Linked DNA regions of Macaca mulatta. Each later gene encodes a partner of the first gene's protein in a complex. Links are inferred from orthologs where the notes say so. Each region holds a gene or a part of one and is shown in the gene's direction. Other genes may lie near its edges.

Region 1 (10,511 bases):
TTCCCAAAGCACTTTCCAGGTTAAATCCAGCCTCGGGAGGAGCCGGGAGTGGAGAGAGAATTTACTCTCCCCCAACTTAGCTCCCTCAGAAATGGGGGCAAGTGGAGGGTCAGCTGAGCAGAGAGGAACAATCTCCCGAGATCCCAGGGATGGGAGCATTGAGGGGAGGGGTCCCGAGAACTCCCAGGGGAAGTGGGTTAAAAGAAGGGCCGGGAAGAAGGGTGGGACGCCCTCCACTGGAAAGGGGAGAGAGTTCTAGTTAATGCTGAGGGGAAGTTGGGGACCTGGGTTAGCGTGTGTCTGTCTCCATGAAGGGGGTCCGTCTCTCCCCGCCCCAGGTGCCGTCTTTGGTCTGGAAAAGGGTCCAGCATGGGGGCGTTGGGGATGTGAAGGGACCAATGAGCGGTCTGTCCGCTCAGAAGGGTCCAGAGAGAGAGCCAACTGGGACTACACCCCCGCTCCCCCTTCCCCCGCCAGAACTTGGGCTTGTCCTGTTTGACGTACCCGCAGAAAGGGGCGGGAGGGGTACTGACCCGAGGAGCGGTCCCGCGACTCTGTACTCCCTGCTGCCCAGTCCCGGCCAGGACGCTGCCCGGCTTAGTTGGGGAGCCCCTCGACACCAGGATGGAGGTAGGGACGGGCTAGGGTCCCGGAGGGGCACGGGTGTCTCGAAGGTGCCCTACGGGGTGGGGATAAGTAGAAGGCAGCCTGGGGTCTCCTACTGGGGGTCTCGAGATGGGACTGCAGTTCCTGTTGAAAGGAGGGGAAGAGGGGTTCGTCCTGGGCTTGGGCGGTGTCTGGATCCGGGGTGCGTCCCCCCTGCTCTGGCCCGAGCAGCGCCGCCTGCTGGCAGGGCCGGACCCCGCGGCCCCGGGACCCGACTCCAGGCGGTGCCGCCACCTGGAGGGCGCGTGCAGCCGCCGGGCCAGCGAGCCCAGGGCGCTGCAGCCGGTCGAGAGGGAGCCGCGTCGCTTCGCCTTGACCTTCCCCTTCGAGGAGCTGAAACCCGCGGCACCAGAACCCGGGAGTGAGACAGAGAGGAGAGACAGCAGAGACTCCGCGGGCGCGGGGCGATCCCAGCTGGGCTGTCTCCACAGGGATGCCGATCCCGCTGGAGACACAGGGCCGAGCCAGAGAGGGGTAGATGGGCGCCTAGACGCTTGGGCAGGCGAGCCGAGCACCAGCACTCTTGCTTTTCGGTCCTTTTCCCCGCCGAGGTCTGGGTCGCAGTCGCCGCCGGGGGATGCGCGCCCAGCGCGCAGAGCAGGGCCGGGAGGGAGCAGAAGCTTCCGCCAAGAGCTCAGGTGCTGGGGCAGCCCTGGAGCTGTTCCTGCCCTTCTGCTTGCGGCGGCGGAAGCTCCAGAGTCCCTACCCTTTCTCGGGAGGACTTTAGGGAAGAAGCAGAGGGGCAGGGGAAGCTGAGGAGCGAGGGTGCGACATGGGGATGGAAGGACAGTGGGAGGCACACGGAAAAACAGAACGGGGACCTTAGGAGAGACGGAAGTGGCGAGAGAGGCTGGGCTGAAAGTCGGGGAGAGCCAGAGACTGACAGAGGCGGTGAGAAAGGAAGGGAGAGGGAGGGAGGGAGGAGGGAGGAGAAAGAGGGAGGGAACCAGGAGAGAGGGAAGGGAGCAGGCGGCGGAGCCGGGCGGGCGTGGGGCGAGGCCAGGCGTGCAGGCGGGAGCAGCGTGCAGAGCAGCGGCCGGGTTCTGCTCCCGCCTCGGAGCCCCTGGCCCGGGGGAGGAGGAGAGGCCGCTAGCCTGGTCTATGTCTTTTTCTGACTCCAGTGCAACCTTCCTGCTGAACGAGGTAACCGTGGTTGGGGGAGGGGGTCGGGGGAGGGGGGGTTCCCCACTGGATGGGAGGAGAGCTCCGCTCCAAGCTAGGAAGGGGGCACGCGTTTGGGTGAGACTGCACCGATAGGGAGGGAGGGAAACCCGACGAAGTGAAACCAGGGGTGGAAGAGGCACCGGGTTAGAGAGGAGGGAGCGGCCAGAGCTGGCAGCTTCCTAGTACTGGGATTGGATGGGAGGAGAGGACTGACCGGGAAGCCAGAAAAAAGGGGCTAGATTACAAGAAGGGCTCTGCCAAGCTCCCCTAGTGCCTGTCCCCAAGTTCCCTGGCAGCCTAGCAGCCAGAATGGTAGGGGCCTTTATCTGGTCCAGATCTTAAAAACTGCTGGAGAGGCCGGGCGCGGTGGCTCAAGCCTGTAATTCCAGCACTTTGGGAGGCCGAGGCGGGTGGATCACGAGGTCAGGAGATCGAGACTATCCTGGCTAACGTGGTGAAACCCCGTCTCTACTAAAAATACAAAAAACTAGCCGGGCGTGGTGGCGGGCGCCTGTAGTCTCAGCTACTTGGGAGGCTGAGGCGGGAGAATGGCGTGAACCCGGGAGGCGGAGCTTGCAGTGAGCCGAGATCACGACACTGCACTCCAGCCTGGGAGACACAGCGAGACTCCGTCTCAAAAAAAAAAAAAAAACAAAAAAACTGCTGGAGAGGAGTCTTTAAGTCTTCCCAGAAGGCCTAGCTTCTGCCTCAGTTTCCCCATTCAGTGCCCAGGGACAGGGATCTGCCCAGCTTCCTGGTGCACTTACAGGAGAAGCTAGAATATATTCTGAAACCTCCCAAGAACTCCAGCTCCCAAACCTGATTATTCAGGGTTTTCCTCTTATGTCTTGCTTCCATGACTTGGGTACCTGCCAGCTGCCAGTCTAACAACTCTCTCCTAGAAAGAATCAGCAGGAGGAGCCTCTCCCCTGATCCTTTATTGCCCTCAGCTCTCTCCCTTTATGCCCAGCCATGAAAAAGAAAAGAGGTTAGGGCTACATGGATACTGACAGGCACATGTCGTGTCACAGGACAAGAAGTCACCAAGTTGGCATTACAACTGGAGTAGGCAGGTGTGGGTGAGATGAGAAAGGAAAGGGGCATTGGGTAGCAACCCAGAGATATGAGGAGAAGGAGGGAAGTTCTGAAGCTCCTGCAGGACCCAGGGGAAGGGCCAGGTATGAGGAACTTGAACCCATCTCCTGGGGATGGTTGGCATGGCAACACATGCCTCAGGAGCAGACTTAGACAACCTTGTTGCAGATTACAAGGAGTGTGAGGAAGGAGTGCTGCCCATGGCAGATCCGCTGTTACCTACAGCCCCAGGACCTTCTGTGGGTGGGAGAGTCCCAAAAGGAGAGGCCAAGAGAGTGGATGCAGGGATGGGAAGAGAAGCAGCTGCCTCCACCACTGCTTTCTTCATTAGAACCATCTCCCAGGAGAAAAGCACCTTGAGGGTCTTACTCTCCGACACCTCTCTCGGCCCCTGAAAGACAGAAGGAATTGAAAAGGATGAAAGAGGGGGATACAAGGAATACTGAGTAACTGGGTGAGGGCACAAAAGTGGGCAGTGTCGGAACTTCCAATACGAATCCAGTATATGACCAAACCCCAAATGGTGCTGGACTCAGGAGAGGCAACTGTGAAAGCTGACTGCCTCCCCCAATAGCGACGTCCCTTCAGCCACAGGGGCTGTAACAAAGTTGTTTGTCAAACCCAGCATGAGGAAGGTGCTGGGCAGGGCTGCTCTGGGCCACCCACAGTAGACAGACTAAAGATGTCAGTCTGAAGATGAAGCCTCTTCTTTTTCTTGCTAAGATAACACCGATAAGTGACCCAGGTGGGAAGCCACTTGGTTTGGGTGGGCTTTCTCTCTCCCATGCACAGTGCCTTCTACCACAGATCTTATTAAGCTATGTCAGAGTTTTGGATGTCTGATTCTCCTCAAGCCTAGGAGGGATGAGCAGATTGCTGAACTCCCGGGTGTGAGAAATTGGGAAAGGAAAAGGACTGAGCTCAGGGCCAAGGGCATGGGCACCAGGAGGCCTCCAAGTGTACCCCTGTCTATGGACGTCCTCCTTGTGGGGCACAAAGGTAGGCAGTCAAAAATCAAAGAAGGAATTTTGCTCAGGAGATGAAAAAAGGAGAGAGCTCAAATGGGTGGATCTTTGGGGAAAGTTTCCTCAATATAAGGGCTGCGGCTCTCTTACCTCAAATCTCAGTGTTCCTGTGAAGGAGACTGAGTGGTGCAGAGTGGTACAAGCCCTTCTGCTGAGGGGAGAATCTGGCCTTACCCTAGTGACTCTGAGGAGACTGGCCCTTTCCTCTCCTAACCCCAGTGTAGCCAGGATCCCACCCACAACTATCCCCTACCACCACCCTCTGGTTTCTCTCCCCTCCCTTTAGGCTCACCTAAAACAGCCCCTTTCTGACCCAGTTCCCACGGATGCCTTGGCACTGTCTGGCACGATCCTTGGCAGGGAAGTGGGGAACGGAACCCCCATCCTGGCCGGACTAAGACGAAATCTATCTGTGCAACAGGTGTGGGGAGGCCTATCCAGCTCACGGAAAGTTCCCCCCTTCTCAAGGGCTAGGCAACACCGCCTTTGCCGCAGCGTTCCCGTACTGAGGGGGCCGGGCACCTGTTGGGGCAGGAGTTGCCGTCCTGGCATTAGCCTGGGGGCACTAAGCCCATTCCTCCCCGGGACTACTGCGGGGTCTGCTTCGGAGCTTCCGGGACGCACGGGCCCAGACCCGCACTGCTGTCGCCTGGGACCCCTCCCCAGTCTGCCGCTTGTTCCCGCGCCTCTTCTGTCTCCCAGGGTCTCCCCATTTTCCTGTCCTCTCCGTCCTCCCTCTGCCTCTCTCTCTCCGGCTTCCTCGACACCTGCGCCCTCTCCAGTCTCCGCCTGGGTCGCGTCTTCCTCGCGGTCTCAGCGCCCCCTCCCTCCCCCGCCGCAGCCCTTTGTTTCCCGGCGGAGTAGTTCCTGGGTTGCCGAGCGTCTCTGTCTCCGCATCTCTCCTCGCCCCGCCTCCTCCCTGCCTGGATCCGCCCCGCCCGCAGCCTCTCCTCCCCTTCCTCCCAGCCGCCAAGGCCCCGTAGGTGCTCGGGGACCCACCTTCCACCCAGCACGGGTCCGTTCCCGTCTCCGGGCCTGGCCCGGGCTCCCCGGTGGCCGCCGCCCCCTCGCCGCCCCCGCCTTCTCCCAGGGAGGGGGTCAGGTGGGCGGGCACTATTGTTGTAGGAGCGGGCGCCAGATTCCTCAGCCGCGCTCGGGGTGGGACCGGCTGGGTTTGGGGGGGTGGGGTGGGGGGAGCGGTGATTTGAGCTCCGAGCAGCTGGTCTTCGCGGCTCGCTCCCTCCTTCGCGCTCTCTCGCTCCCCGCCGCCGCCCGCAGGGCTGCGGGGCTCCGTGGCATCTCCCGGGCGCGGCCCGCAGTCCTCGCCCCTGCCTCCGGGCCGCTCCCGCCCCCGGCGCCGCTCGCTTCCCCCACCCGGACTCCCCCATGTATGACGACTCCTACGTGCCCGGGTTTGAGGACTCGGAGGCGGTGAGTGCCCACGGTGAGGGTGGGGGCGGGGAAGTTGGGGTGACACCTCCTCTCCCTTCAACCCTTCCCCCAGTTCAGGACTTTGAAAAACGCCTCAGTGGCAGGGCAGTGTGTGTAGGGGGGCGCTCTAAAAACGTGGGGAGATGGATTTTCATGCCAAGCGCTCCCCAGCGACCCAGACTCAGACCCTGGGGCATCGGGTGTGTGCAGAGAGGGGGCAGTATAGGGGAAGGGCTCAAGCAGGTGGCTCCACGGCCCAGGAAAGAGGGGTGGGAGGAGGCAGGGTTGGAGGCCGAGGGCACAGAGGCTCTGGAGAGGGAACACGCCATGTCTGGAGTTCCAAATTCTGGATTTCTGGGGTCTGAACACAACAGCTAGGAGAGCCGCCGAGGTAGTTGGGGAGGCAGACATTCCGGACCTCTTGTGCCTCAAGCAAACAACACATTAGGGAGCTGAGAGGACACCAGGGAGCCAGGGACCAGCCTCTTTAGACAGAGGGATCCTAAAACTTGAGGAGCTCCATTATTCCCTTCTACCCCCTCCATCTCTGCGCACTGCCTCATCTCCTCACCCTTTCTCTAGCCCAGTTTCTCTCTCAGGCTGAAACCTGGGCACCCAGCACATGGGTAGGCCAGGTGACTGAGCCCCATCCATTCCACAGCCCCCTGCTGAGGCTTCCTCTGAGCAGCGGGCATCCTGAGCTCTTGCCCAGCATGGAGGGCCTGGAGGTGAGGCCAGAGGAGCTGAGGGCCTGGGGATGGAGAGGATGCGCTTTGCTCAGAGAAACAGGCAACCAATAAATATTTAATTCTCCTCTTTGCTTTTATCTCCTGACCCACTGAGACAAATCAGCTCATTAAGCAGTGATTCCCGGAGCTCAGACAGCAGGGAGAGTGCCTGGAAAGATGGGGCAAGAATGCGGAGCAGCTTCTCAGACCCTTGGAGCTGCCAACTTTCCCTCAAATGTCCTGTAAGAAGGCCTCCTTAGGAGTGGACCAATAGATGGCTTGGAAGGGGTCCCAATAGGATGGAGCACCCCTGGGTCGGAAAGAGGAGTATGTTCCAGTCTTCTCCCATCACTTGCTGCCAGGCCCAGGATAGATGAGTGCTGATGCTCAGAATAGGCAACTGTCCTTTTCTGGGACTGGGCTCCTTCTGGGCCCAATTTTCCATGAGGCCTCTGGGGTAATTACTTTGCTGCTAGAGCAGATCATTTTCAAGGCTCTGGTGGACACCTCTTTCTGACAGTTGAAGGGACAGCTGGTATAGCCCAGGGTGCCAAGGTGAGCTTGAGAACAAACCTCTCTGTGGGGCTGGAGGGCCCTAGGAGGTTCTTCCCATCCCTGGTGAGAAGGCAAGGGCTATTGCAAGGAACAGACTGACATGTGGATGGTGTTGGAGGACAGCCTGCTGACCCATTGCTCCCTCCCATCGCTCTCTGGCTCCTGATCACCCTCCCCCACTTCCCTTTCTCTTGCCTGGCTCCTTGCTCTCCCTGAGGCCCCCTCTGAAGCAGTAGGAGGGAGATCAGGCTCTAAATAAATCCAACGGCTCATCTCCCTCCTCTCCTTCCCCCGTGCCAGGCAAGAGAGGAGCTGCAGCCTGCCCACACACTCACTAGGCAAGGGGGGCACCACCGGGGCACTGTGCCAACTCCTGGCAGCTCCAAAGTACTGACACTCTGGCTCTTTTGGCGTAGCGGGGTACAGGAAAGGTAAGACCCTAGATCATGCCTGGCAGGGCAGCCCTGGCCTCCCGAAGTAATACCGGAGCACGAGAGATAAGTTAGCTTGGAGGACTTGGAAGTAATGGAGAGGGGCTTCCATTCTGAGCACAACTCATTAATTATTTAGGGAGAGATCCTGTGATTCCCATCCCAGGGTGAGAGGTCAGGTAACCCCAGATGCCCCAGGCGTTATTACTACTAAATTAGGCCGCAAGGTGGCTCAGGCCTGTAATCCCAGCGCTTTGGGTGGCCAAGCCGGGCGGATCACTTGAGGTCAGGAGTTGGAAACCAGCCTGGCCAATATGATGAAAGCCCGTGTCTCCTAAAAATACAGAAATTAGGCTAGCATGGTGGCGCATGCCTGTAGTCCCAACCACTCAGGAGGCTGGGGCAGGAGAAATGCTTGAACCCTGGAGGCAGAGGTTGCAGTGAGCCAACATCACGCCATTACACTCCAGCCTGGGCATCACAGTAAGACTCCGTCTCAAAAAAAAAATCACTAAATTAAACCAGGCACAGAGACTCATGCCTATAATCTCAGTGCTTTGCGAGGCTAAGGTAGGAAGATGGCTTAAGCCCAGGAGTTTGAGACCAGCCTAGACAAAATAGCAAGATCCTGTCTCTACAAAAAACTAGTAGGCATGGTAGTGCATGCCTGTAGTCCTAGCTACTCAGGAGTCAGGAGGATCGCTTGAGCCCAGGAGTTCAAGGCTGCAGTGAGCCACGATTGTGCCACTGCACTCCAGCCTGGGCGACAGAGCAAGACCTGTCTCTAAGTAAATAAATAAAATAATAAAAATAAAGATTACTAAATTGGGCTGAGAGTCTGGAGCGCAGGCAGAAAAGGTCAGACTCCTCTTTTAGCATGGTGCTGAGCTTCTGGGAGGTACCCGATGTATCTGTACCAAAGTGAGTGGTCATCTGCCTTGCCTTCTGCCTCCCAGCCTATTGGCCCCTGTCTGGTCGCTTCAGATACTAACATCCCACAGAGGTTTCTCTTGTGTCTTAAGACCCCTAGGAAGGAGGTCCCTCACCCTGTGCCAAGATTATTTCTGGGGTTCAACCCCCACTTTTCCTGCTGCCATCCAGCCTCATTTTGTTCTCAGGAGAGATGAGCAACAGCGGGCAGACTCTACTCTTCTGTAAAACGAAAGAACCTTCCCCCTTGTGCTATCTTCAGGCCTTTGGTGTACTATAGACACTGTCTTTAGCCTAAGACTCGAGAGCCTGGGCTGACCCCCAGCTGAACAGCCCTCTTGCTCAAGGCAGGGTGGGGGTAGAGGGCACAGTGGACAGCAGGTGTGTGATTTTGCCTTCTCCTCTGAGAGTCTGGCCTCTGCTGCCTTCTGTAGGTGGTCGTGCCCAGTGAGCTTGAGAGAATATTCCTCCACCCAAGGACATTCTAAAGCCCCTTCCCCTATACACACACACACTCCTGCATGAACCCCTTATTTAGGCTTATCCCTTCTCTCTGCCACTGGCATCTCAGAATCGTGGGAAGTATCACTTGAGGCTTCTCCCCACAGAGAGGGAATACTGAGGCAGGAAACGAAAGACTCTTTCCGTAGGCAGAGGAGGAAACCCAGACATCCTAACCTCTGGGCTCTTGTCTCGAAGTCCAGCATCCCTTACTCATTTGTGCCTCTCCCTCATGGCCTTGAAGCTGAGCTCTGTGACCCTCAAATGCACCCTCATTGCCTATGACCTTTTCTATGGGCAGGACTCAGAGACTCTCCTTGCTCATGTTACCCACTCCCCACATCCCCAGGGTCCTGCTCCATAGCTGAGTTGCCTGGCACTAGCATAGCCTTCTTCTAGGGCCAGTGTCCCCTGGGCCTGGGAAAGGACTGGGGAGATGTAGGCCAAGTGGTAGGCATGGCCCAGCCTCACCTGCGTCCAGGGAGACAGCTTTGTGTTCTTCTCGGTCTGTGTCTTGTTTGCTGCCTATATCTGGCCAGTTGCCCCAGCAGGTGTGGGAGGAAGAAAAGTAGGGGGTGGGGAGAGCAAAGGGGAGGTAACTTCTAGGAGTTGGCAGCTTTGTGTCCTCCTCTTCACCCTGGAAGGGGAAGGGCTCACCATTTGAGAGCCTTCAGAGCCTTGTTGGAGTAGGGAAAGTAGGATCTTAGGGGGCAGATGGCTGGATCCCCACACTCAGGACTGGTGCTGTGCCAACCAGCGTCTCTTGACTGTTACTGCTGGCTGGACTCCTGCCAGGCATCTTAAAGGGATGATGTCCAGGCTGCTTTGCAGGCTGCTGTGAACAAGAGGGCTGGGTCTCCTGGATCCAGAATCATCTCTAATACATCATCTTCAGCACTCCTCCCTTCCCTCAGCTCAGAGGACATGTTAGAGGGGAGAAAAGGGAGGAAAGAGAGAAGTGAAGGCTCTATTCAAAGCTGTAGTATTAATAGGTTTGGGGGAGGAGGGGCCCAGATCTTTGCACCTATAGATGGGGCCAGGTTTCCTGTAGCCTCAGAGGCACCGGGGCCCTTCTCAGGGGATAGGAGGGGCCATAGGGACCCAGCCACCCCCTTGGAGATGGAGAAACGGGGCAATAGAGGCAACACTGTAAGGTGAGGAGGGTGCCTCCATAGCGTCCTTCACGCCGGAGCCTGGGAGTCACAGCCTGTTTCCCAACCCAGGGTTCAGCTGACTCCTACACCAGCCGCCCATCTCTGGACTCAGACGTCTCCTTGGAGGAGGACCGGGAAAGTGCCCGGCGTGAAGTAGAGAGCCAGGCTCAGCAGCAGCTCGAAAGGGCCAAGGTATACTTTCTGGGCATGGGGCAAGACAGGAGGCCAAACTAGGTGGAAACCTGCACTTGGTCCTAAGTCCCAAGGTTTCCTTGGGCAGGATGTCCTTGAGTGTGAGAGGGTGCATGTGAGGGGCAGAGGCCACGGCCTTCTGCTGTTGGGGCACTGAAGCTGGAAGGGGTGCTCCGAGGCTTCTCTCACTTGCACTAATGGCCAAATTCTCCAGCACAAACCTGTGGCATTTGCGGTGAGGACCAATGTCAGCTACTGTGGCGTACTGGATGAGGAGTGCCCCGTCCAGGGCTCTGGAGTCAACTTTGAGGCCAAAGATTTTCTGCACATTAAAGAGGTGACCGACCCCCGTGCTCTAACACTTCTAAGCCTCTGACACTTCATTTTCTTGCTCTTGCCCCAGATCCCAATGTTTCTTACTTCAGTCCTCAGTCTAATTCCCCAAGCTAATCAGCTCTTCTCCTTAACACCCACCTGTCCACCCCTCATATCTAAGACCTCATCCCCAGGGTCTCCATCCTTCTGAGACCTGGCTTGGGCCTCAGTCTCCATGTCCATCAAGTGAGCAGTTAGATTAGCTGCCTCCGAGGTCCCCTATGACAGCTGCAGTGCCTCACTCAGAAATCCTGGGTGGCCCGA
Region 2 (10,556 bases), on another chromosome or scaffold:
AGTGCAGTCTGGATCCCAAATTTGTACAGTAAAAGAGAACTGCTAGAAAATCATTTTGAGCAAGGGACTGATAGGTGTTACCTGAGAAATAAAAGCCCTAGCCCCTGCCTTTGGTTGCTTACATTCTGGTTGAAGACATAGAATAATGCACAACCCATGTTGGAAGTCAGAGAGCTCAGGCAGTCAGAATGGGCAGGAGCTGGAATCAAGGATGGCAGGACTCTGGGTAAAGCAGAGAGGCGTAGAGAGGGCCCCCAGGACCAGAGCCAGCACAAGCCAAGTGTGAGATCAGGAGAGCTAAGAGTTCCAGAGAAGACTGACCTGATAGATCTGAGGGTCTGTTTGGGAGACATTTTCTAGAACCTTCTCTTGAAAGCAACGGGGAGCCTTTGAAGGCCATTGAGAAGGGGAGGGATATGTGAATTTGTCCTGAATTCTCAGACATTTGGTTTCACTCTTTTTTTTTTTTTTTTTTTTTTTTTTTTTAAGGAGAACCTCGCTCTGTCGTCCAGGCTGGAATGCAGTGGCATGGTCTTGGCTCACTGCTACCTCCACCTCCCAGGTTCAGGCGATTCTTCTGCCTCAGCCTCCCAAGTAGTAGGGATTACAGGCGCCCACCATCCCACCCGGCTAGTTTTTTTTATTTTTAGTAGAGACAGGGTTTCATCATGTTGGCCAGGCTGGTCTCGAACTCCTGTCCTCAAGTGATCCTCCCACCTCAGCCTCCCAAAGTGCTGGGATTGCAGGTGTGAGCCACCACGCCTGGCCTGGTTTCACTTTTGAGAACACATCTAAGTCTCCGTGATGCTTAGAATCATTGTTGATTTTTCTTGGTCCTCATTTAGTGTGGAGGACAAAGCGAGCTGGAAACAGACTCAGGGCCTGCAATAAGGACAGAGGTGAGAGGGTGCAGAAGGAGACATTCTCAGGAATCTGAGTTTACCACGAACTCCTCCTGTCAGGGAGAGAGCTAGCCCCTTTCTGTCTCTTGGAGAGGCCGTGCCCAGTGGCCAAGGTGTCACGCTGCCCATCACTCACTCACTTGCTAAGTCCTGAGCATCTTTTACGAAGAGGGAAAAAATAATAGAGTCGTGATAAGTGCTAATATAGACCTTATGGTACCCTGTAGACACACACAAGAGGTGGGCGTGCGATCAGAGAGGCTTCCTAGACAAAATGGCACCTAACCTGGATCTGATAACCACATTCAATGAAGCTTGGTGGCACCTAAACTCAACACACACCAATTATTTCTGAAATAACAGCTTCCTAAATCCTATGAAAGGCTACGTGTAATCAGTCCCACCCTAACAAACCCAGCTTTCTGCCTAATCCTCTCTCTCAGTTATTCCACATGTATTTGTGGAGCATCTATTACTTGACAGGGGCTGGGCTAGGCTCAGGACATACAGGTGAAAGAATAGATGCCCCCATTAGGTGCCACGGAGAAACCCAGGGTGGGGTGAGAGGGTGTATCTCGGACCATAGGGACTGGGGCAGGGAAGGCTTTGATGACTGTCTCTGCCAGGCAGAGGGCTTTGAACGGACCAACAACACCTACCTGGTTATCAAAGAGGCATTCCTTTCCATAAAGAGTTGGCTTCCCTCGTTGGCTGATGGCTGCTGCTGCTAATTCAATAGGCAGTCTCAGACCTTCTTCTAGATGTAAGGCCCTGGAAGGGATCAGTGATGAGACTTAATCCCCACTCTCAAGGGACATGACAAAATTGGGCATTTCTATAAGCTATGCCCTTTAGGAGGTGTTTTTGCATACATACTTTCACAGTTGATTCGCTTATTAATTTCTTGTCAGGGATGTTTCCCTTGCCCTTCCTAGGGAAACCATGACTCAAAGCGGTCACCCGACTAGTAAGAAGGGATGCGCACAAGATTTTAACCCAGATCTGTGCCCCTTCAGTAGCCAACCACCTCTCCTCATGAGGCTTACAATCCCGTTTGCGGGTGGAGATGATACAAATAAGCCCATAATACAGGCCTTTCCTAACTGATATGTTCACTCTCCTCTCCTCTTGTTTAGAAATGTTTCCCGGGACTCCCTCCACTGAGCTGGCGCACTCCTAACAGCAGCCATCAGTTTGGGCACCCCGGACTGCCCAGGGATCAGGGATCTCGAAGGCCGTGAGGACCAAGGATCAGGCGCTGGGGTGGGGGTGGAGGGCATGGAGCCTGGGGTTTAGGCCTGAGGTGCCCATGTTGGGCGGCAGGAAGAGGCAAGGCGTGCGGGTCTGTGGCCGTGCCCATGGGTGCTGCGGAGCGAGGTGTGGGCCCTCAGAGTTCCGCGGCGCCATGGGCTGGATCTGAGAAGGTGTGCACCGACCCCCTGAGAGGGGCCACACTTGTCTAGGACGATGGCTGGTGTTAGGGAGTCCTTGGAAGCCACCCTAAAGGGCGAAAAGAGGCCCTAGCAAATCCTGGTACCCCGGAGCTGCTGCTAGCGATGTGATTTGCCCCAGTGGTCGAGACCGTGTAGACCCCAAGCAGGGGCCATTCGGTGGGGGCCTCACTCTGGGTCCAGCTCCACGTGGCACCATGAACAATAACTTCTGCCGGGCTCTGGTGGACCGGAGGCCCCTGGGGCCCCCCAGCTGCATGCAGCTGGGCGTCATGCCCCCTCCCCGGCAGGCGCCCCTGCCTCCCGCCGAGCCCCTAGGCAACGTGCCCTTCCTGCTGTACCCGGGCCCAGCCGAGCAGCCCTACTACGACGCCTACGCGGGGGTGTTCCCCTATGTGCCCTTCCCCGGTGCCTTCGGGGTCTACGAATACCCCTTCGAGCCAGCCTTCATCCAGAAGCGCAACGAGCGCGAGCGGCAGCGCGTTAAGTGCGTCAACGAGGGCTACGCGCGCCTCCGCGGCCACCTCCCCGGCGCCCTGGCAGAGAAACGACTTAGCAAGGTGGAGACGCTGCGCGCCGCCATCCGCTACATCAAGTACCTGCAGGAGCTGCTGAGCTCGGCCCCAGACGGCGCGACGCCCCCCGCCGCCCGCGGCCTCCCGGGCACCAGGCCCTGCCCGGCGCCGCCCGCCGCCCCCCGGCCCGACCGCCCTGGCGACGGCGAGGCCCGGGCGCCCTCCTCCCTGGTACCGGAGTCATCCGAGTCCTCCTGCTTCTCCCCCTCGCCTTTCTTGGAATCGGAGGAATCCTGCCATTGATCGGGCTTGTGGCAGCCCCTGGCTTGGGGAATGATCCGTCGGCCCCGTCCCACTTTCGGGAGCAGCGGGAGGCTGCTGGGTCACCCGCGATGCGCCGCAGGCTGGTGACTGCAGGAGGTCCGCGGTGCTCCCGTGTCTGCGACATCCTTCCTCCTCCGTCAACTTGGGGAGGAAGTGCAGGGCAACGGGTGCGAGGCGCGCGATAGAGACCTGAGGAGCTCCGTGGGTGCAGCGAGGGGCAGGGCCTGGGACTGCTCCGGGCGTCCTGCGTCCCCTCCGGGGTGCAGAGGGGCACTCCAGGACGATTATCCCTGGGTCTGGCTCCCGCTCGGCCTGCTTCTTCCTTCCTCGCCGCAGGCGCAGCCCAGTCTCTGCGAGTTCCCGGGAGGCAAGCCCGGCTTTGATCCCTCGGTTATCATGCCCCTGCTCTCCACCAGATGGCTTCAAATACTAGCGACTTCTTTGGGAGCACGCTTGCCCTTTGAGAAAGGAACCCAGAGGAAGGGATGGGAGGCCAGGCCGCTGCCGGCGCTCAGCCCGGACCGAACCCACAGACTCAGCAGAGGCGACCTGTGTGCCCTGGTGGCGTTCTCTAGCTTCCTTGGTGGGGGGCGATCACTCCCTTCACACCCCCCAACGAGGTCATCTAGTTTTGTCCCAGGTTGGGTGGGGACTGTGGTTTTTTTCCCTCAGACTGTAAGCCTTGGGGGAGGGGGGTGTGCATATGGGTACATAGGCACTGTGTTGGCACCAAAGAGCTAAATAAAAGGATTTTTGAATTTTTCTCATTCCTAGATCATTGTCTACCCTCACCCTTCCTGGTGCCCCTTTCTCATTCCCACTCCTAGTCCAGAGTACTTGCTGGAAGGGTATGTGGGATTCGCTGTTAGCGCATTTAAGGTTCAGTGTTAGCTCAGGCATTCAATGAATTTTTTTTTTAATTTTAATTTTAATTTTAATTTTAATTTTAATTTTTGAGACAGGTTTTGCTCTGTTGCCCAGGCTGGAGTGCAGTGATTCTATGCCTGCTCACTGCAACCTCTGCCTCCTGGGTTTGAGCAATTCTCCTGCCTTGGCCTCCAGAGTAGCTGGGATTACAGGTGCACACCACCACGCCCACTAATTTTTGGTATTTTTAGTAGAGTTCAGGTTTCACCATGTTGGCCATGCTGGTCTGGAATTCCTGACCTCAAGTAATCTGCCCACCTTGGCTTCCCAAAGTGCTGGGATTACAGGCATGCGCCACCGCGGCTGACCTCAATGAACTTTTCTTTTTGAGACAAAGTCTCACTCTGTCTCATTCTGTCACCCAGGCTGGAGTACAGTGGCCCGATCTTGGCTCATTGCAGCCTCAACCTCCCAGACTCAACTGATCCTCTCACCTTGGCCTCCTTACTAGCTGGGACTACAAACACACACCACCACACCCTGCTAATTTTTGTATTTTTTGTAGAGACAGAGTTTCACCACTTGCCCCGGCTGGTCTTGAACTCCTGAGCTCTAGCCATTTGCCCACCTCAGCCTCCCAAAGTGTTGGGATTACAGGCATGAGCCACCACGCCTGGCCTCAGTGATCATTTACAGGGAGCATAGTATATGTGGGGACTGTGCAGAGAAGGGGCCAGAGTCCCAGAGATAAAGCCCACAACCTTTACACCTGTAGGGGTGGGAGGAGGTGAGGAAGAAAGATACACAGCAGATGCTCCACAGTGAGGCAGGTGCTATGCCAGAGGTGTGTACACTCAGGGATGTTCTGGGAGTCTTCCAGCCCACTGGAGAGGGGTTTACTGTTTCCCTGACATGGGATTGCTTGGGGGGTGGGTTGAGGGTATGTTTGGGGAGTCTTGGCTGATGGTGCAAATACTGAGCTAGGTAGAGGGTGCTGTGGAGCTGTCCTGACTTAGGCTGCCCAGTGCCTTCTCCAGACAATGTCATGGGGCTGAGGAGGGGAAACCTAATTTTGGCATGAGGGGGCCACTCTGCCGTTTGAGGTTCCATATCCAAGGCTACCGCTTCCTGATCTCTGTTGCCGCAGGCTTGAAACCTTCCATCCTGTCTCCCTCTCCCACTGCCCCTGCCCCATCCCAGGCCTGTGTGTAAGTTCTTCTCCCCATCCCCCACCCTCCTCAGGGGACAGATTGGGAAGCCACTGGCTGGACTGGATGGAATGACAGCTGTCTGGCCTCAGGAGCTCAGGCCCGGCAGTGGGGAGCCGAGTGGAGGCTAATTTTACTTGCTGGGAGTGGGGAGAGTAATCCTCCTGCCCCCACTGCTGCCCCCGCCCCCCGGCTGGCTCAGCAGGGCAGGCTCAGCCGACAGCCTCAGCCAGCCCAGTCCTCAAGGCGGGGGGCATTGGGGACGCAGGGAAGAGAGGGCACTGGGGAGGGGGAGCCAGATTCCCAGGGAAGCCATGGAGCCGTCCTCACCCCAGGATGAAGGCCTGAGGAAGAAACAGCCCAAGAAGCCGGTTCCTGAGATTCTGCCAAGGCCACCCCGGGCCTTGTTCTGCCTGACCCTGGAGAACCCCCTGAGGAAGGCCTGCATCAGCATCGTAGAATGGAAGTATCCTTCAGGGCCCAGGCCGTGGGGGGGAGCATGCATCATGGGGGAGGGATTCAGGGGTGATCACAGAGCACACACTTCCTACAGGAGGGCCAGGGAGGCCTGGGACTTAGACCTGGGGTGAACTCACAGAATTGAGTGAGGCTGGGGGAAGGAGCCCTCAGCTGCGCAGGAGAGGAGGAGGAGGAAGAGGAGGGAGAGAAGGAGGAGGGGGGAGGAGGAACAGGAAGAGGAGGAGGAAGAGGAGGAGGACTTGGTGGGGCTTCCTGGGCCTGAGCAGGCCACCCAAGTCCTGGGTGACAACCAGAGATGCCTACTGACCACCTATGGGTGGGGCCTGCTTCATGGGGACTGTTCCCAGGTGTGCCCAAATCCACATTATCATGGGGTGCCACTAGGTTTTTGAAGCACCAGCCTCATTTCAGAATAGGATAGGAACCAATAAAAGGTTCAATGGCCTCTTTGAGAAAACTCCCCCTTGTTTGGGTTGGGTGGGGGGTGACCCCTCTGGGGGCAGATCCCAGCTGAGGACAGAGCCAAGGGAAAAAATGGGTCTGAAAGACACCTGGTCTGAGTGGCTCCAAGACACAGGCCAAGCAAGCCTGGGTGTTCTAGCTCAGACGTGCCACCCTGGGGACAGAGACTTCGAATCTCATGCTGTGTTTGCATTTGCTCTGGGGGGAAGAATGCTGAAAATATCCGGGTTATCTGGGGAAGGGAGGAAGGAGTGACAGAGACAAGGGGAGGGCTGTGTCAAGTGGGTTCTGAGAGCGAGGGTCGGGCATATTTGAAATATTTCTGAAGGGTTCTGGAAGGCTGGGCTCCTACCAACTGTTCCCTAGAAGGAAGGAGAATGAGGGATAACTAGAAGGACAAGACAAACGTGGGGCAAGTAGAGATATCTTGGGGTCAGTGTCAGCCTTGTTCCCTTCACCTGCCCTTGGCCAGTCGGTGAATCACCCACATCGAACCCTCCTAGGCCCTCCCTCCTTGCCTCTCTTCTGCAAACAGGTTTACTCCATGGGTTCTCCCTCTCCTCCATCCTCTGCTCCTCTGCACCTTCCCCTCTCGTAGCCCCCTGCCCCTGTGGCCCTCCTCTTTTCTCAAACACTGGAGGTTACTGGGAAGAGAATGGGATTTTTCTGCCAAGCCCATCTACATAATATGCCTCCCCATCCGCCCCCAAACAACTGCCTCGCTTCCTCCCTTGCTTTCTCTAGCTCTTTCCACACTTGCTGCCTAATGGGTCAGAAAGTCAAGAAAGCCATGGACCTGGGGTACCCTCTAGAAATGGCTGTGGGTGGGTGTGTCTGGGAGGGGCGAGGTGTGATGGGTGTGAGCACGAGCACACCAGCATGCACACATGGCTCTGGAAATTCATCGTTCATCTCTCCATCCCTCATTCCCAGTCCTGCTCGGTGAGTTCTCAACCTTACCCCGCATCAACCCTTACCCTCCCGTGCCATTTCTCTGGGTGAGCCTCTGTGGATTGGCCAGAATCTGGGAAAGTCATGGCTCCCTGGGAGGAGGCAAGGGCGTAGACAGGCACTGAGAGTGGAGCAGTGTGAAGACTCCCTAGGCCTTAAAGCTGAGTAGCCCTTAGCCAGGGACCAGACCTTTACCATTCCAAGGAGTCTATGTGAAAGCGACTTGTTCCTGAGGAAAGGGAGCCAGTTGTCAAGGCAGGAACCTGGTCCTCACTGTATCCTGCAGGTGCTCAGGGAAGGAGCATCGTGGGTGAGTGTCCAACAGCTTGTCCACCTGCCTGGCATCAGAGTCACAGTCCAAACTGACCCTCAGCGCCCTCTTCCCCTTAACCCTGTAAGTCCCATGCCCCTGTGGCCCAAGGGCTCTCCTTAACCCTGGCTCCAGGCCCTTCGAGACGATCATCTTGCTTACCATCTTTGCCAACTGTGTGGCCTTGGCCGTGTACCTGCCCATGCCAGAAGATGACAACAACTCTCTGAACCTCGGCCTGGTAAGATTGGCTCTTCCATCCCCCTTCCTGACGGCCTGCAGCCCCAGGCTTGGGGAGGCCCCCTTGGTGGACTCTGTTCTGGGGGATGGTGCTGGTGGTTTAACTCCCTGCATCCCCACCCACCTGCAGGGCTGGCTGAGTGGCTCAACAGGTTTCCAGGGTCAACGTGCTTATTCTAGATTCTGTGACATTGTCAGCCAGCACTGAGCACACAGTCATTGGTCCCGGGCACTGTGCTAATACCGGATGAGAGTAAACTCATTTAATCTTCACAACCACCTCATAAAGTGGTTCCATTTGATAGATGTGGAAACTGAGGCTTCGTAAGGTCAGCTAGTGAACCACAGAGGTTGAATGCTAATTTCCCTTCCCTAGATGTAATTCATAAGAAACTTGTGTCCACTAAGTTTGCCTTCATGGGAGAGTTTTATCCAGGAATCTGAAGCAAGAACATGTTTTAGAGTTCTACAATACCACTTTCTCTTCACCCCTTCATCGGTAACACATACCTGGAACCATAAAATGCCGGGGCTGGAAGGGATATTCAAAAATTAGGCTGTCCTACCTCCTCCCCACCTGATTCTGTTTTATGGATGAGGAAATTGAGGCCTAGATAGCTTCAAGGACTTACTTACCCAATAGTTAATTTATAATAAAAATGGTTAGCATTTAGTAAGTACTTATTAAATGCCAGGATTTGAGCTAAATATTTTACATTATTGTATTATTTAATCCCCCTAACTACTCCTGTGGGGTAAGTAACATTATTAGACCCATTTAAAAGACAAGGAGACTGATATTCAGAGAGTTTAGGTACATTGCCCAGGGTCACCCCACATCTAAGTCTTGTGGTAGGGCCTCCAGCTTGGTCTCTCTGACTTTAGAACCTGCAATTTTTTTTTTTTTTTTGAGACAGAGTCTCACTCTGTTGCCCAGGCTGTGCAATCTTGGCTCACTGCAACCTCCACCTCCCGGGTTCAAGTGATTCTCCTGCCTCAGCCTCCCAAGTAGCTGGGATTACAGGCGCCTGCCACCATGCCCAGATGATTTTTGTATTTTTAGTAGAGATTGGGTTTTGCCTTGTTGGCCAGGCTGGCCTCGAACTCCTGACCTCAGGTGATCCGCCCGCCGCGGCCTCCCAAAGTGCTGTGATTATAGGCGTGAGTCACCACGCCTGGCCAGAATCTGCTCTTGTACAGGCTGTGTTGCCAAGGTGGTGGGTGACAGCAGAAAGACTTCTAGGGGAAGCCCTCTTAGAAACAGTGGCCTCAGGCTCCCTAGGGGACAGGACAATGGAACCACCTTTTTCAACGGGAATTTTTTTTTTCCTGCACTGAAACTGCAGGGCCTGGGAGGGAGGAGGTATATTAGCATGTGTCCAGGGCCTGACACATCTCTGCCTTTCCCTTATGCTGGTTTCCATGGGAATCTATCTTGAGCCGATGGGAAGCTGGGATTCTAAATGTGTGCTTGCTATGAGGAGAAAACACTCTGAGCTCCCGAGTGTGGAAGGAGAGTGGGATTAAATGTTGGCAGGGCAATGCTACCTTTGCTGGCAAGGAAGGCATTTCGTAAAGTCTGGGCATTCTACACCATAGGCTTAGTCTCCATGTTTCTGAATGCAGGGAGAGCTCTGGGTCTACCCCACCCTTCACGATTTCATATTTTTGGGCCTCAGTTCCTTACGACATTGACTACTTTTGCAAAAAACTCTGCCCCACCTTGGAGGATATTAAATTACACCTCTGCTGGATGCAGTGACTCACACCTGTAATCCCAGCACTTTGGGAGGCTGAGACGTGAAGATCGCTTGCATCCAGGAGTTCGAGACCAGCTTGGGCAACATAGAGAGACTCCCGTCTCTACAAAAGTTAAATTAGCCGGGCCTGGTGGTGCATACCTATAGTCCCATCTACTTGGGAGGCTGAAGTGGGAAGATTGCTTGAGCCCGGGAGGTCGAGGCTGCAGTGAGCCAGGATCATGCCACTGCACTCTAGCCCGAGCGACAGAGTGAGACCCTGTCTCAAAAAAAAAAAAAAAAAAAAAAATTACATCTTAGAGGTTATATCATCTTCCATCTTGAAACAAAATGGCTGCCTTAACTGTTTCATGTAGTCCTGTGTGTGTTTTTCTTTAGTTTGTGGGCTGGAGTTGCAAAACCTTGGGTTAGGCCTAGAGTTCATAGAGACAGGATTATGAGTTCCCTGGAAGTCGGAAACCTAATAAAAAATGTTTCCAAAGCGGAAAATGCCACTTGGCATGTCAGAGCTGTATGGGAAATGAATATTCAGGGAGGACTCCTAATCCGACCACTTAATTGTGAAGCCCAGAGAAAGTCGGTGATACCCAAAGTCGCTTAGCCAGCTTCGAGCTCAGGGCTCCTCACTGTTCATGTCCACAAAACCCAACAAGAGGGAGATGAGAGGAGTCAGAGTAGAAAGGGGCAGCAGGTACTCTCTCTCTTACCCTATTGGCTGCTTTGTAGGTATCTGAGAAGGGTTGGGGTCTTTCCAGTCATTTAGAATAACCCATAGCTTTCAAGAAAGGAGGCCTAAGGATTAACTGTTCATGAACTTTCTCATTCATTTAACGAATGTTTCTTTAGTGCCTATCATATCCCTGGCACATACTGGGGATATCACTGTGAACCAAATAGGCACAGTTCCCATCTTCACAGAGCTTCATTACCTGGATTAAACAAGTAAATATGATAAAACAAATTAAACAAGTAGTTAAAATGAAATGGGAAAGGTTCAAGGTTTGGGAACATTTTGGTAGCATATTGGCAGAGAACCTAAGCTAGTCTTGAGATCAGGAAGTCCTCCCAAAGGATGGGATGTTTAAC
Region 3 (10,509 bases), on another chromosome or scaffold:
CCACACCTCTCCAAGCAGGCTGAGTTCTGTCCCAGGAGACCCCCACAGCCCCTCCCAGTACAGTCTCAGCTGCCCTAACAATTTGTGGACTCCTCAAGGGCAGGGAGTGGGTCTTCTCCTGCTTGGCAGGGCAGAAGTCCCAGCGTGGGCCTTATTGTGCCCCAACTTAACTATGGCCCAAGCCCTGGCTGGCCTGTATGTTCTGGAGGCCTCAGGAGGGTCCTGAATCAACAGGGAGGGAAAAGGCCACTGTGATCAGGGCAGTCGGAAAAAGCTGCCAGAATTGGAAGCTGGCAGAGTGGGGTTGTAAAACCAAAGGGAATTGGGCTGGTGTGGATAGGATAAAAATATCTCAGGGGTGCAAGTAAGCATCAACATCTGGAGAACAGAACAGGAAAGGAGCCCCCCAGATTTCCCACAACACTGTGAGTGCCAGGCATCCAGGGCGATTGATTTCTTACCATTACATCCTGTGCTGAATCAAGTACTCAATGCTCTATTAAATGCATGACGGCCTCTCTCCGGTCTCCTCTTATGAGAACACTGCTACGGTTGGGCTCTGTGTCCCCACCCAAATCTCATCTTGAATTGTAATAATTCCATGTCACGGGAAGGACGCAGTGGGAGGTAACTGAATCATGAGGGTGTCTTTTTCTCTGCTGTTCTCATGATAGTGAATAAATCTCACAAGATCTGATGGTTTTATAAAGGGCAGTTTCCTGCACGTGCTCTCTTGCCTGGCGCCATGTAAGATGTGCCTTTGCTCCTTCTTCATCTTCCACCGTGATTGTGAGGCCTCCCCAGCCATGTGGAACTGTGAGTCCATTCAACCTCTTTCCTTTGTAAATTACCAGTCTCGGCAGTGTGAGAACAGACTAATACAGACACTACTCCCATCACAAGGCCCCCACCTCCATGAGCTCATTTCATTATCTCCCAAAGACCCCATCTCCACACACCATCACATTGGGGGTTAGGCTTCAACCTATGAACTTGGGGAAAACATGATGCAGCCCATAGTGCCTACCATGGCTAAGCTGGTCCAATGCACTCCCTCCTGTCCTTCTACCCTCTCCACAGCCAGGCCCATTGCTTTCATTTTACAAAGGGCAGCTTAGAAAGGCTAATGACTTGCTGGAAGCTGCACAGCTGGAGCCAAGCAGTGCAGGGATTTGCTCAGGGCTGGCCAGCTCCATCACCCTCTAGCTTGGTCCCCCTCTCGCATGCTGCCTCCCTGAGATGCTCTCCTCCCTGCTGCCCTGGAAAGGGTGAGATCTGGGGGGAGGACATGGATGTTGCCCTGCCCAACTCTCAGCAAATGCCTGTGGATACTGAAGTCCTTTCCTGGCCCTGCCAGGCTCTTGGGGAACCAGGCAGGCAGCGCGGCAGTGCCTCTGTGAGCAGAAAAGGTGTATTTGAGGGAGCTTTTAGTAAACAGGGGAGAGAAAGTGGATCTGTCGGCCTCGTGGTGCGACTTACACAAAGATGACTTCAAAAGGCAGAGGCCATCAATCTTTAATGCTTTCACTGCACTGGGGCGGAGGACTCTGGACCCCTGCATGGGGCACAAACCTGCCCCCCACCGAGGGAAAGAGCAGCAGAAGTTCCTGGTTGCTGTCCCCGCCGAGACCTGGCATCTTTGAAGGGCCTGCAATATCATCATGGCTGGTGCTGGGTGCACCCTGTGCACTGGGCCCTTTCAGGGTGCTTTCCAAGGCCGTCAGAGGCTCTTGGCACCGAAGAGCTTAGGGCACCCACACCCACCACACCAGGAAATTCAAAAGACACTTTTATTCTTCCAGCGACACTGTATTTACTTGTAGTGCTAAAATTAAACAGCTTCTTTCTAGATATTCTGTCTTAAAACACTGGAACCCTATTCTGGCTCCCCAGCTACTGCTTTGCTTTGTGCCTGGCACTCAGTAGGTCTGCTCAAGCTGTCCAGCACCCCCTGAGATCCCCAGGTGCCAGGATCCTGAAGCTGGGCCCCCACAAGCAACAAGAGAGGGCTCAGAGGCTGCGGCCATGTCCCAGGTTCCGGGAGTTCCCCATGGAGACGGTCCACCCACCTGGTGACAGGCAGTTTCTCCGCGAGCTGAAGCAGGGGCGGCGGCATATGTCAACAATCAGTCAGTGATCAGTCAGTTGTGATGGATTAGCACCCACTGGGAACACAGAGGTGGGGGGACAGGGAGGAAGGGAAGCAGAGATTAGAACAGTGGGGAGAGAAGCTCTCGGGAGATTGTAATATGGATGAGAGACTGACTTTAAAAATATGAACGTTTGGATGGAACTGCAATAAGCACGAGCCTGTGGCTGGAGACACGAGGGTTCAGCTCAGCCTCGGGGCTGTTCACCAGGTGGTCCTGGTTCGTCATGTCTCCTCTCTGGGCTGCAGATTCCTAATCTGTCACAATAGATCTTCAAGCTTCTTCCCAGTTCTAACCATTGGTTAAGACTTCGGGCTCTGGGTCCTGAAACCTGGCTTCCTCATTTTCCCGCTGTGTGACCTTAGACAAGTGACTTCACGTCTCTGAGTGTCCATGTCCTTGTCTGTGAAATGGCAGTAACAGTTGTGTTACTGTGAAATGGCAAAAACAGCCACAGTCCCCTTGTGGATTTGGTGTGAAGAGTAACTGCGATGATGGATGAAGGCTCAGCAGAGTGCCTGTTAGATAGTAAGCACTCACTGAAGATGAGCCACTGCTCCTATTATCATCATCATGAACTTTCTGTGATTCCAAGGCTGGAGGCCGAAATGTTTCTGTCCACATGGGCAGAGTCTCTGTAAATCGTGTCAATCTGAGGCAAGAATTTTGAAGTTCAAGGCCCCACCCAGCTCAGGAGGCTATTCCTGATCATGCATCAGCCTCTCGGCTACACCCAAAAAGGGCCACCCAGTGAGCTGAGAAGGGAGAGATGGCACAACCCAGGAGAGACGTAGAGGCCGCAGCCTCGGGGACAGGCCTGGGGGCCAGGCAGGCGCACAGGACCCTCGGAGGGTGGTCGATCCCAGGCTTTCTGTGTTCTCTGCCATATCCGCACACCCATGAGCTCCTGATGATCCCCTATAAATCAACCTATTCGTTCTTTTTCACTCACACACATATTTTGCAAATTAAAACGTAACTGGAAAATCGTTATCACCTGCTGTTAGTAGAAGGCAAAACCAAACACAGTGCCCTGAAAACAGAACAACCAAGTCCAGCAGGATTCCTCGTCCTCTTCAGGCCGTTCTCGCTTTGTTTCAGAGGACACTTTGCGGGCAGTAATGACACTGACCTCGAACGGAGCTCTGCTCTGGACCCAGTTTTGGGGATGGAAAGAGAATTGAAAAGGAAGTAATGTTCTCGTGGAGGGATCAGAGTTGGGTAAGGCCAGGCCTGGGAACCACCTAAAATCTTCCTGTGGTTTGCGGGATGCTGTGGGGTTTGTGGCTAAAACGCTTGCCTGAGAGGTGGACTCCACAGGCCCCGGACAGGGTCCCTGGGATGTCCCTAGACAGAATCCTAGGCCCCCCAGATCCCAGGATGAGAACCTACTCACTGCCCCGCCGGTAGTAGGCTTACAATGTGGGAGCCCGGGACGGCCGTGCAGCCTGCAGCTCCTGGTCTCCTCCCCTGGCCTGGGGTGCCCTTTCCCATCAGCCCAGAGCAGACAGATCTCCACCCCTGGGGCCCTGCTGCCCACCCCTCGCCCCCTCCCAACTCAGGCACCCTGAGCTGCTACTCCATAGAGGCCTCAATCCACCATCCAGAGCCTTCTCTCCTTGCCCCGCCCCCCACTGGGGTATTTCTGGCTCCCAGAGGGGCAGACAGCGCTGAAACCCGAGCAGAAGCCGTCCCCGGTGCCACGCCTGGAGAGGGGCATTAATAGCAGCCTTCCTCAGGCCCCTGACGCGTCTGGGCAGCTGCTCAGCACATCCCGCGTCCCTCAGCCCCAGGGCCAGCCCACTCTGGCTCAGCCAGGCACACTAAACTTAGTGGCCACTCCCAACTCGACAACCACCGCCACCCCCCAGCTCGGCTGTCACCTGCCGGAGGAGACGCAGCCGCCGGACCCTGCCCAGGGCACCCACGCCTCGGCGACCACCATGTCCCAGACCAAAACGCTGAAGGTCCGCGTGACCCTCTTCTGCATCCTGGCAGGCATCGTGCTGGCCATGACGGCCGTGGTAACCGACCACTGGGCTGTGCTGAGCCCCCACATGGAGCACCACAACACCACCTGCGAGGCGGCCCACTTCGGCCTCTGGCGGATTTGTACCAAGCGCATCCCCATGGACGACAGCAAGACCTGCGGGCCCATCACCCTGCCCGGGGGTAACGTACCCACCCTCCGTCCCGATCCCCACCTCCCGCCCTTCCCCGTCGTCCCCCGGACAAATTTGCCCATGCCAAGGAAGGCAGGTTTCTCAGGCTAGAGATAGGGCAGCCGCCCAGCCCTTTCTGCCCAGGGAAGAAGATCTGAATTGCATGTGCTGTGCTGGTGGCTGGGGCTGGGTTGTAAGACGAGGGCGTTTGTCCCAGCTATTTCTGTCTGGCTGGACCCTGGGGCTTTTCGCCCAGAACAGAGAGCTGGGCAGGCTCAAGACGGGAACCGCAGCTCTACCAGCCCAGGGACTTCTGGGCTCCATCTGGTCACTCTCTCCCTGCAAAGACATGCTGGGTGGCTCTGTGTCCTCAGGCTGGGGGAAACCATGGAGCTGGCAGGTTTGTCCCTGGCCTCAAGGCAGGGGAGGAGAGAGGACAGGCGACGGAATATGCAGGGTCCTGTGCAAAATGAAAATGCAGGGTTCCTTGCTCCAAATTACCAAGGATTTCAAGGCAGCGATAGCAGCACATGAATCCAAGCATGGACCCTTGTGGGCCCTGGGCCTGGAGAAGCTGCACAGGTTGAATGCCTGTGAAGCAGGACGTGGCTGTGGGTGAGCCACCTGCCCCTACCTTTTTTTTTTTTTTTTTTTTTTTTTTTTGAGACAGAGTTTTGCCCTGTCGCCCAGGCTGGAATGCAGTGGTACAATCTTGGCTCACTGCAACCTCCGCCTCCTGGACTCAAGTGATTCTCCTGCCTTGGCTTCCCCAGTAGCTGGGATTACAGGCATGCGCCGCCACACCCATCTAAGTTTTATACTTTCAGTACAGACGGGGTTTTGGCATGTTGACCAGGCTGGTCTTGAACCCCTGACCTCAGGTGATCCACCTGCCTTGGCCTCCCGAAGTGCTAGGATTACAGGCGTGAGCCACCGTGCCTGGCCTCCGCCCGCCCTTTTGTCAGGACGTCAGTCCATTATGCATCCTCCGTTAGCTCAGACCCTGTCAGAGTTACAAAGCATTTCCTCACCCTGTAATTTAAGCGTATTCCTCGATTTCCTACCATGTGACCGAACCACATGTCGAAGGTAAGCTCCTTTTCAGGAGTACCTGGTAGTTGCATGACTAGCCTCTATTCTGCAAATGCCGAGGCTTCTGGATTCTTAGCAAATACAGCACTTTAGAGGAAAGGGTGCTACGTGGAGACCAGGCGGCCAGGGATCTAGTCACCATTGCCCATTACCCTCAAATGACCATCCAGCGAGGACAAAGATCATCTCAGCCTCTGCTTCTTCCTCTATAAAATATGGGACTGACTCTCAGCAATGTAAGATCCCTTCCCAGGTTTACAGACGCCCATCCACAGTGGCAGTGGAGCAGGGTTATGTCAGTGTGATGTCCCACCTGGTTTTCAGGATTATTCCCTCTTTTACCAGACTTTGGTGTTCCTTGAAACCTGTCCTTCAAGGACACTAGGGCTGAGTCCCCAAAGATCTTGCAGTCTGCATGTGAACCAAAGAGCCAACACCCCAACCTCCCATATCTCTGCTCCCTCTTCTTTCCCTGCTGCTTGCTCCAGAGATCCCCTCCCTCATTCACGCCCACTGGACGCCCAGAAGACTCGTAAGTGCCCAACTGTTATAGAAACACCGAGTCCCAGGGCTGAGGGTGACAGGTGTGGCCATGTGCTGGCAGGGTATCGCATAGCCCGGATGCCCATGCCCCTTGGCGACTGCCAAGCACACCCATAAACAGGCAATCCCTCCAGCCAACTCCCCTGGGCAGGGCAGGGCAGGGCAGCTTCTTCAGGGACCGCGCATAGGGACGTGCTGTTACAGTCCTGTTCACCCGTCCTTGGAACCATCTGCCTTTTAAAGTCAGAGCAGAGGACTGGGCAGTGAGCAGAGTCCACACAAGGAAGAGACAGGCTGGTGAGAGGTGACTAGACCAATTACAGGGGACCAACAGGCATTGCTTGTTGGACCAACAGGCCTTGAGCCTGACCAGGATCTACCTCTTTGCCTTCTTAGCCTAACCAGCTATGAACCATACTTCCCACACTTGTGACACTGAGCACTACCTTTCTCCCAGTCATCTTCCAAAATATGTTCCTGCCTTTTTCCCTCTCTTTTCTCTGCAAATGGACATCTTTCTCCTTCCCCATATGCCCTTCTTGTGCCCCCTGGGACCATTCTTGTCTGGAGGGAGGAAGCGGGTTCATATGTGGCCTCTCATTTATTATTAACAACAACAACAATAATAATGGCACATACACGTAACCCTATGTGCCGAATATTGTTGTAAATGCTTTACATGTTTCAACTTTGAATGACATCACGAAAAAGATGATAGAGAAAAAGAACTTCCAAAAATCTTCTTCTCCATAAAAGCAATGAGAAGGCTGGTGGAAATGGTCAGAATCAACATTTTCAGAACTCTGGAAATTAACCAAAGTCCAGCAAGAAAAATGGGTGAATCTCAGGAGGACCAGTGAGTTCTGTGGTGTTTTAACTTGACTTATTCCTGATTCCCTTTCCCAGCTCTGTGGTAACCTCGCAAACCAACATTCATAACCACAGCGAAAATCAGCATCCCAGTAGCCTCTGGAGGGGAGAGAATGGGGTTGGATCAAAGGCCCATTCCCAGAGCATTGTCATGATTTGACCTGTCTGGTGATTCCCTGAAAAGCCCCACTTGAGAAGCTGTTTCTGTTTGACCTGACTCTGAGCTCACCCAGTACAAAGAATCTTTCTCCCTGGGGACATTTGTGGAAAATAATTAGAGATGATTACTTAACATCATGGCTGTCTGAGGCAGTAGATAACAGTTGGGAAAACAACAGGCTAACCAAAAAACTGGAGACTGAGATGTCCATAGGTTGCTTTGAAAAGCTCCAACAAATTCCTGGGAATCTAGGAGGTCACACGCATGCACAAGGCTATGTGCACACTCAAGAAAGACCTAAGAAGGCCCTAAGCACCCTCTGCCTTATCTTAAGTCTCTGTTCAAGCAGAAAGTGAAAGCTAAGGCAGAGGTGTGGGTGGCTTACCTGAGTGTGAGTCATATGCACAGAGCCCCTCAGTAAAGACTGGGGGAGTCATTGTTGCCAAGCATTTTAGGAAATTTCTAATTGGTCACTAAGCTAATTGAACAGGGATTTCAGTGGTCACACATGACAAAAAACAGACTTTACCATCTGAGTTCAAAAAGTCACTAAACAATAGGAACAAATCCTCAAGAAGGGGGAACAACTGATTTCCAGAGTTGCCACATTATATTGTTTAAAAAAATACCGGCTGGGTGTGGTGGCTCACTCCTGTGTTCCCAGCACTTTTGGAGGCCAAGTAAGAGGATTGCTTGAGGCCAGAGGTTTGAGATCAAACTGGGCAATATAGCGAGACCCTGTCCCTACAAACAAACCAACCCCACAAAATAGCCAAGAGTGGTGGCATGTGCCTATAATTCTAGCTACTCCTGAGGCTTAGGTGAGGGAATTGTTTGATCCCAGGAGTTAGAGACTACAGTGAACTATGATCACAGCACTGCACTCCAGCCTGGGACGGCGAGACTGTCTCTAAATAAATAAATACATACATAAACACAAGACATGCAAAGAACTAAAATGATATGGGGCATATATGGGGCAGGGAGAGCTCGATAGATCCCTAAGGAAGCCAGATATTGGACTTACTAGACAAAAACTTTAAATTGGCTATAGTAAGTATATCCGAAGAACTTTTTTTAAAAATCAAAAGCATTAAAGATGAAAATGATGTCTCATGAAATAGAAACTATCAAGAAAGAGACAGAAATTATTTTTAAGGACAAAATGGAAATTCTAGAGTTGAAAAGTACGATAACTAAAATGAGAAATTCACTAGAGGGGCTCAATAGCATATCTGAGCAGGTAAAAGAATCAGTGACCTTTAAGATAAGTCATTTGAAATTAGTTAGTCTGAGGAACAGATAGAAAAAAAAAAGAAAGAAAAATGACAAGAGCCTCAGAGACTTATGGGACACCATCAAGTGTATGTAAAGGAAGTCCCAGAAGGAGAGGGAAAGGGAGAAAGGAACAAAAAAGGTATATGAAAAATAATGTCCAAAAGCTTCCCAAATTGGATGAAAAACATTAAAAATCTACAAATTTGTAAAGCTCAATGAACTCCAGGTAGAATAAACTCGAAGGGATCCACACCTAGACATACGATAATCAAGACAGAGGATCTTAAAAACAGAAAGAAGCAATTCATCACATACGAGGAATCCTTAATAAGATGAACGGCCAATTTTTCCCCAAATCGATGGAGTCCAGAAGGTGGTGGGATGACATACATATATTAGCTCACCTAATCCTCACAAAAACCTCCATGAAGGCCATGCTATTATCATCATTCCAATCTTACGGATAAAGAAAATGAACCACTGAGAGGTTGAGATAGTTGACAAGGTAACACAGGTGATGAGCAGAGCAGCCAGGACTCATACTCAGATGATTACCCCTAACATTCACCTTCTTAGTCAATAAATCAACTACTTTACAACAACCCAGTGAGTGGATTCTTATTCTACAGGTGGATCCTATTCTACAGGTGGTTCTTATTCTACAGGTGGTTCTCATTCTACAGGTAGGAACATGGAGGCTGAGCATAGCCTTCCCCAGGCTAACTAGCTAACAAATAGAGGTTCTCCACCCAAGTCTTGAATCCAGAGCCTCCTTTCTCTCCAGTTCCTTCCCACACCCTCTATTGTGCATGTAAACACAGCTCCTAAAAGTTCTGACCCAAGTGAACACAAGGAGTCCAGCTTTTGACATGGCATAGTTTGAGGGTAGCCAGACCAGAAGCTGGTGCAGTGGAGGAGACCTCTCACGGTCCCATTTAGTTTTAGAATGTTGGAGGCTCAGTGGGCAAGAGTTGTCTAATTTTTCTACTGTCCCCCAAAGAGTCTTAGAAGGACTTCCATGTACAACATCTAAGACCAATTCCAATGCCTCCAGAATGAGAGCAGGGGCCTCTCTCATAGGAGAGACTATGTGTTCTGAAAGTCCAAATGAACCCACAGAGAGGCCATCCCCTGCCCTTGGGCTGGGTGAAGTGTTGCTTCTTTCAGGCTCTGCCTCTTTAGGGCAAGGAGGCAGGCTGCCCCAGGGCCCACTTTGCCTAGTGCCCCATTTTCCCTACTGGTCCATCTTCTCTCAGTGCAGGAATTGGGACTGGATGAAAGAGCATGATACTACTGACCCCAGGAATTTCATGGGCTCCCCTCACCACTCAGGAGTCCATGCCAGAGGCCTAGGCCAAAGCCAGGCTTCTCCCACGGAAGAGTAGTGCTCTGGAGCTCCAGGGTCAGGTCTTGGAGATTTCTCCAGCCCATTTTATAAAATTCTTCCATCAGAGGTGTGGGAGGAGACACAGCCCAGAAAACCACTGTCAGGAGCTGATAGAACTTCATTTACCAAAAGGCTAAACACAACACTGGCATCAATGCAACTTAGAGGCTTTCTTGCATCCCTAAAGTACCAGTTTCTTTGGTTTTGGACAAATCCACAAATTATCTTTGAGTATATGAAAGTCTCCATGGACTGTCACTTGGTACACTGATACGTTCTCAGTGATAACCCAAGGCATCCCCTAATGCTACCAGCTGCTCCAATGATCAAAGAAAGATCCCTATTAACTCTAGTTCAGCTTGGAGCTAAATGTGGCTTCTGCTCTAATTCTTCGAAACTGGCACACTAGACATGGTTCTGCACAGTGACTAATGCCCTTAACCAGAACACTTGTTTAGCCAGACTGTTCCATCCCCCAGTCAAGTCTGAGGGCTGAGTTCACCACAGTTTTAATAAATACCCCATTTAATATTTTTAAACCACTGAGTCTTACAGAAATAAGGAGATTAAAATCAGCATAAGCCATTTGCAGAGACAAAGGAGAATGGCACAACCTCAGAGTTCCTAACACCCCAGATCATCATCCTGGCATTGGAATCTTTGCTGACTTAGTCGGAAGCAAAGCTGCAATCCCTGAGCTTTGTGTAAGTATGATGGAAGCCAGGGCAGTGGGACAGAGAGGGACATCCCAGAGGCACAGGCAGGAAGGCTCAGAGTCTGCACAGGACCGTCACAGTCCCTCTCCTCTTGCCCCATGGCTAAGACGGGTTCCCCTCGGATGTCCTTCCTCTTTACGTTGCCCTGGAT

The links.
Region 2: CACNB3 (region 1) and CACNA1S share a complex: the UniProt entries of both Homo sapiens proteins name them as parts of the calcium channel complex. The link is inferred for Macaca mulatta from reciprocal best matches to the Homo sapiens genes CACNB3 and CACNA1S.
Region 3: CACNB3 (region 1) and CACNG1 share a complex: the UniProt entries of both Homo sapiens proteins name them as parts of the calcium channel complex. The link is inferred for Macaca mulatta from reciprocal best matches to the Homo sapiens genes CACNB3 and CACNG1.

Annotation. Positions count from the first base shown.
Region 1 is NC_133416.1:55,974,007-55,984,517, forward strand, and holds the start of CACNB3 (voltage-dependent L-type calcium channel subunit beta-3), read left to right. Parts: upstream 1-5,139; 5' UTR 5,140-5,336; coding exon 5,337-5,381; exon of another isoform or gene 5,382-6,297; coding exon of another isoform or gene 6,298-6,351; intron 6,352-9,749; coding exon 9,750-9,872; intron 9,873-10,086; coding exon 10,087-10,209; intron 10,210-10,511. UniProt on the Homo sapiens protein: Regulatory subunit of the voltage-gated calcium channel that gives rise to L-type calcium currents. Increases CACNA1B peak calcium current and shifts the voltage dependencies of channel activation and inactivation.
Region 2 is NC_133406.1:58,762,383-58,772,938, reverse strand, and holds the start of CACNA1S (voltage-dependent L-type calcium channel subunit alpha-1S), read left to right. Parts: upstream 1-5,085; 5' UTR 5,086-5,581; coding exon 5,582-5,733; intron 5,734-7,605; coding exon 7,606-7,711; intron 7,712-10,556. Other genes in the region: ASCL5 (achaete-scute homolog 5), read left to right, coding at 2,551-3,171. UniProt on the Homo sapiens protein: Pore-forming, alpha-1S subunit of the voltage-gated calcium channel that gives rise to L-type calcium currents in skeletal muscle.
Region 3 is NC_133421.1:76,792,954-76,803,462, forward strand, and holds the start of CACNG1 (voltage-dependent calcium channel gamma-1 subunit), read left to right. Parts: upstream 1-3,900; 5' UTR 3,901-4,093; coding exon 4,094-4,322; intron 4,323-10,509. UniProt on the Homo sapiens protein: Regulatory subunit of the voltage-gated calcium channel that gives rise to L-type calcium currents in skeletal muscle. Regulates channel inactivation kinetics.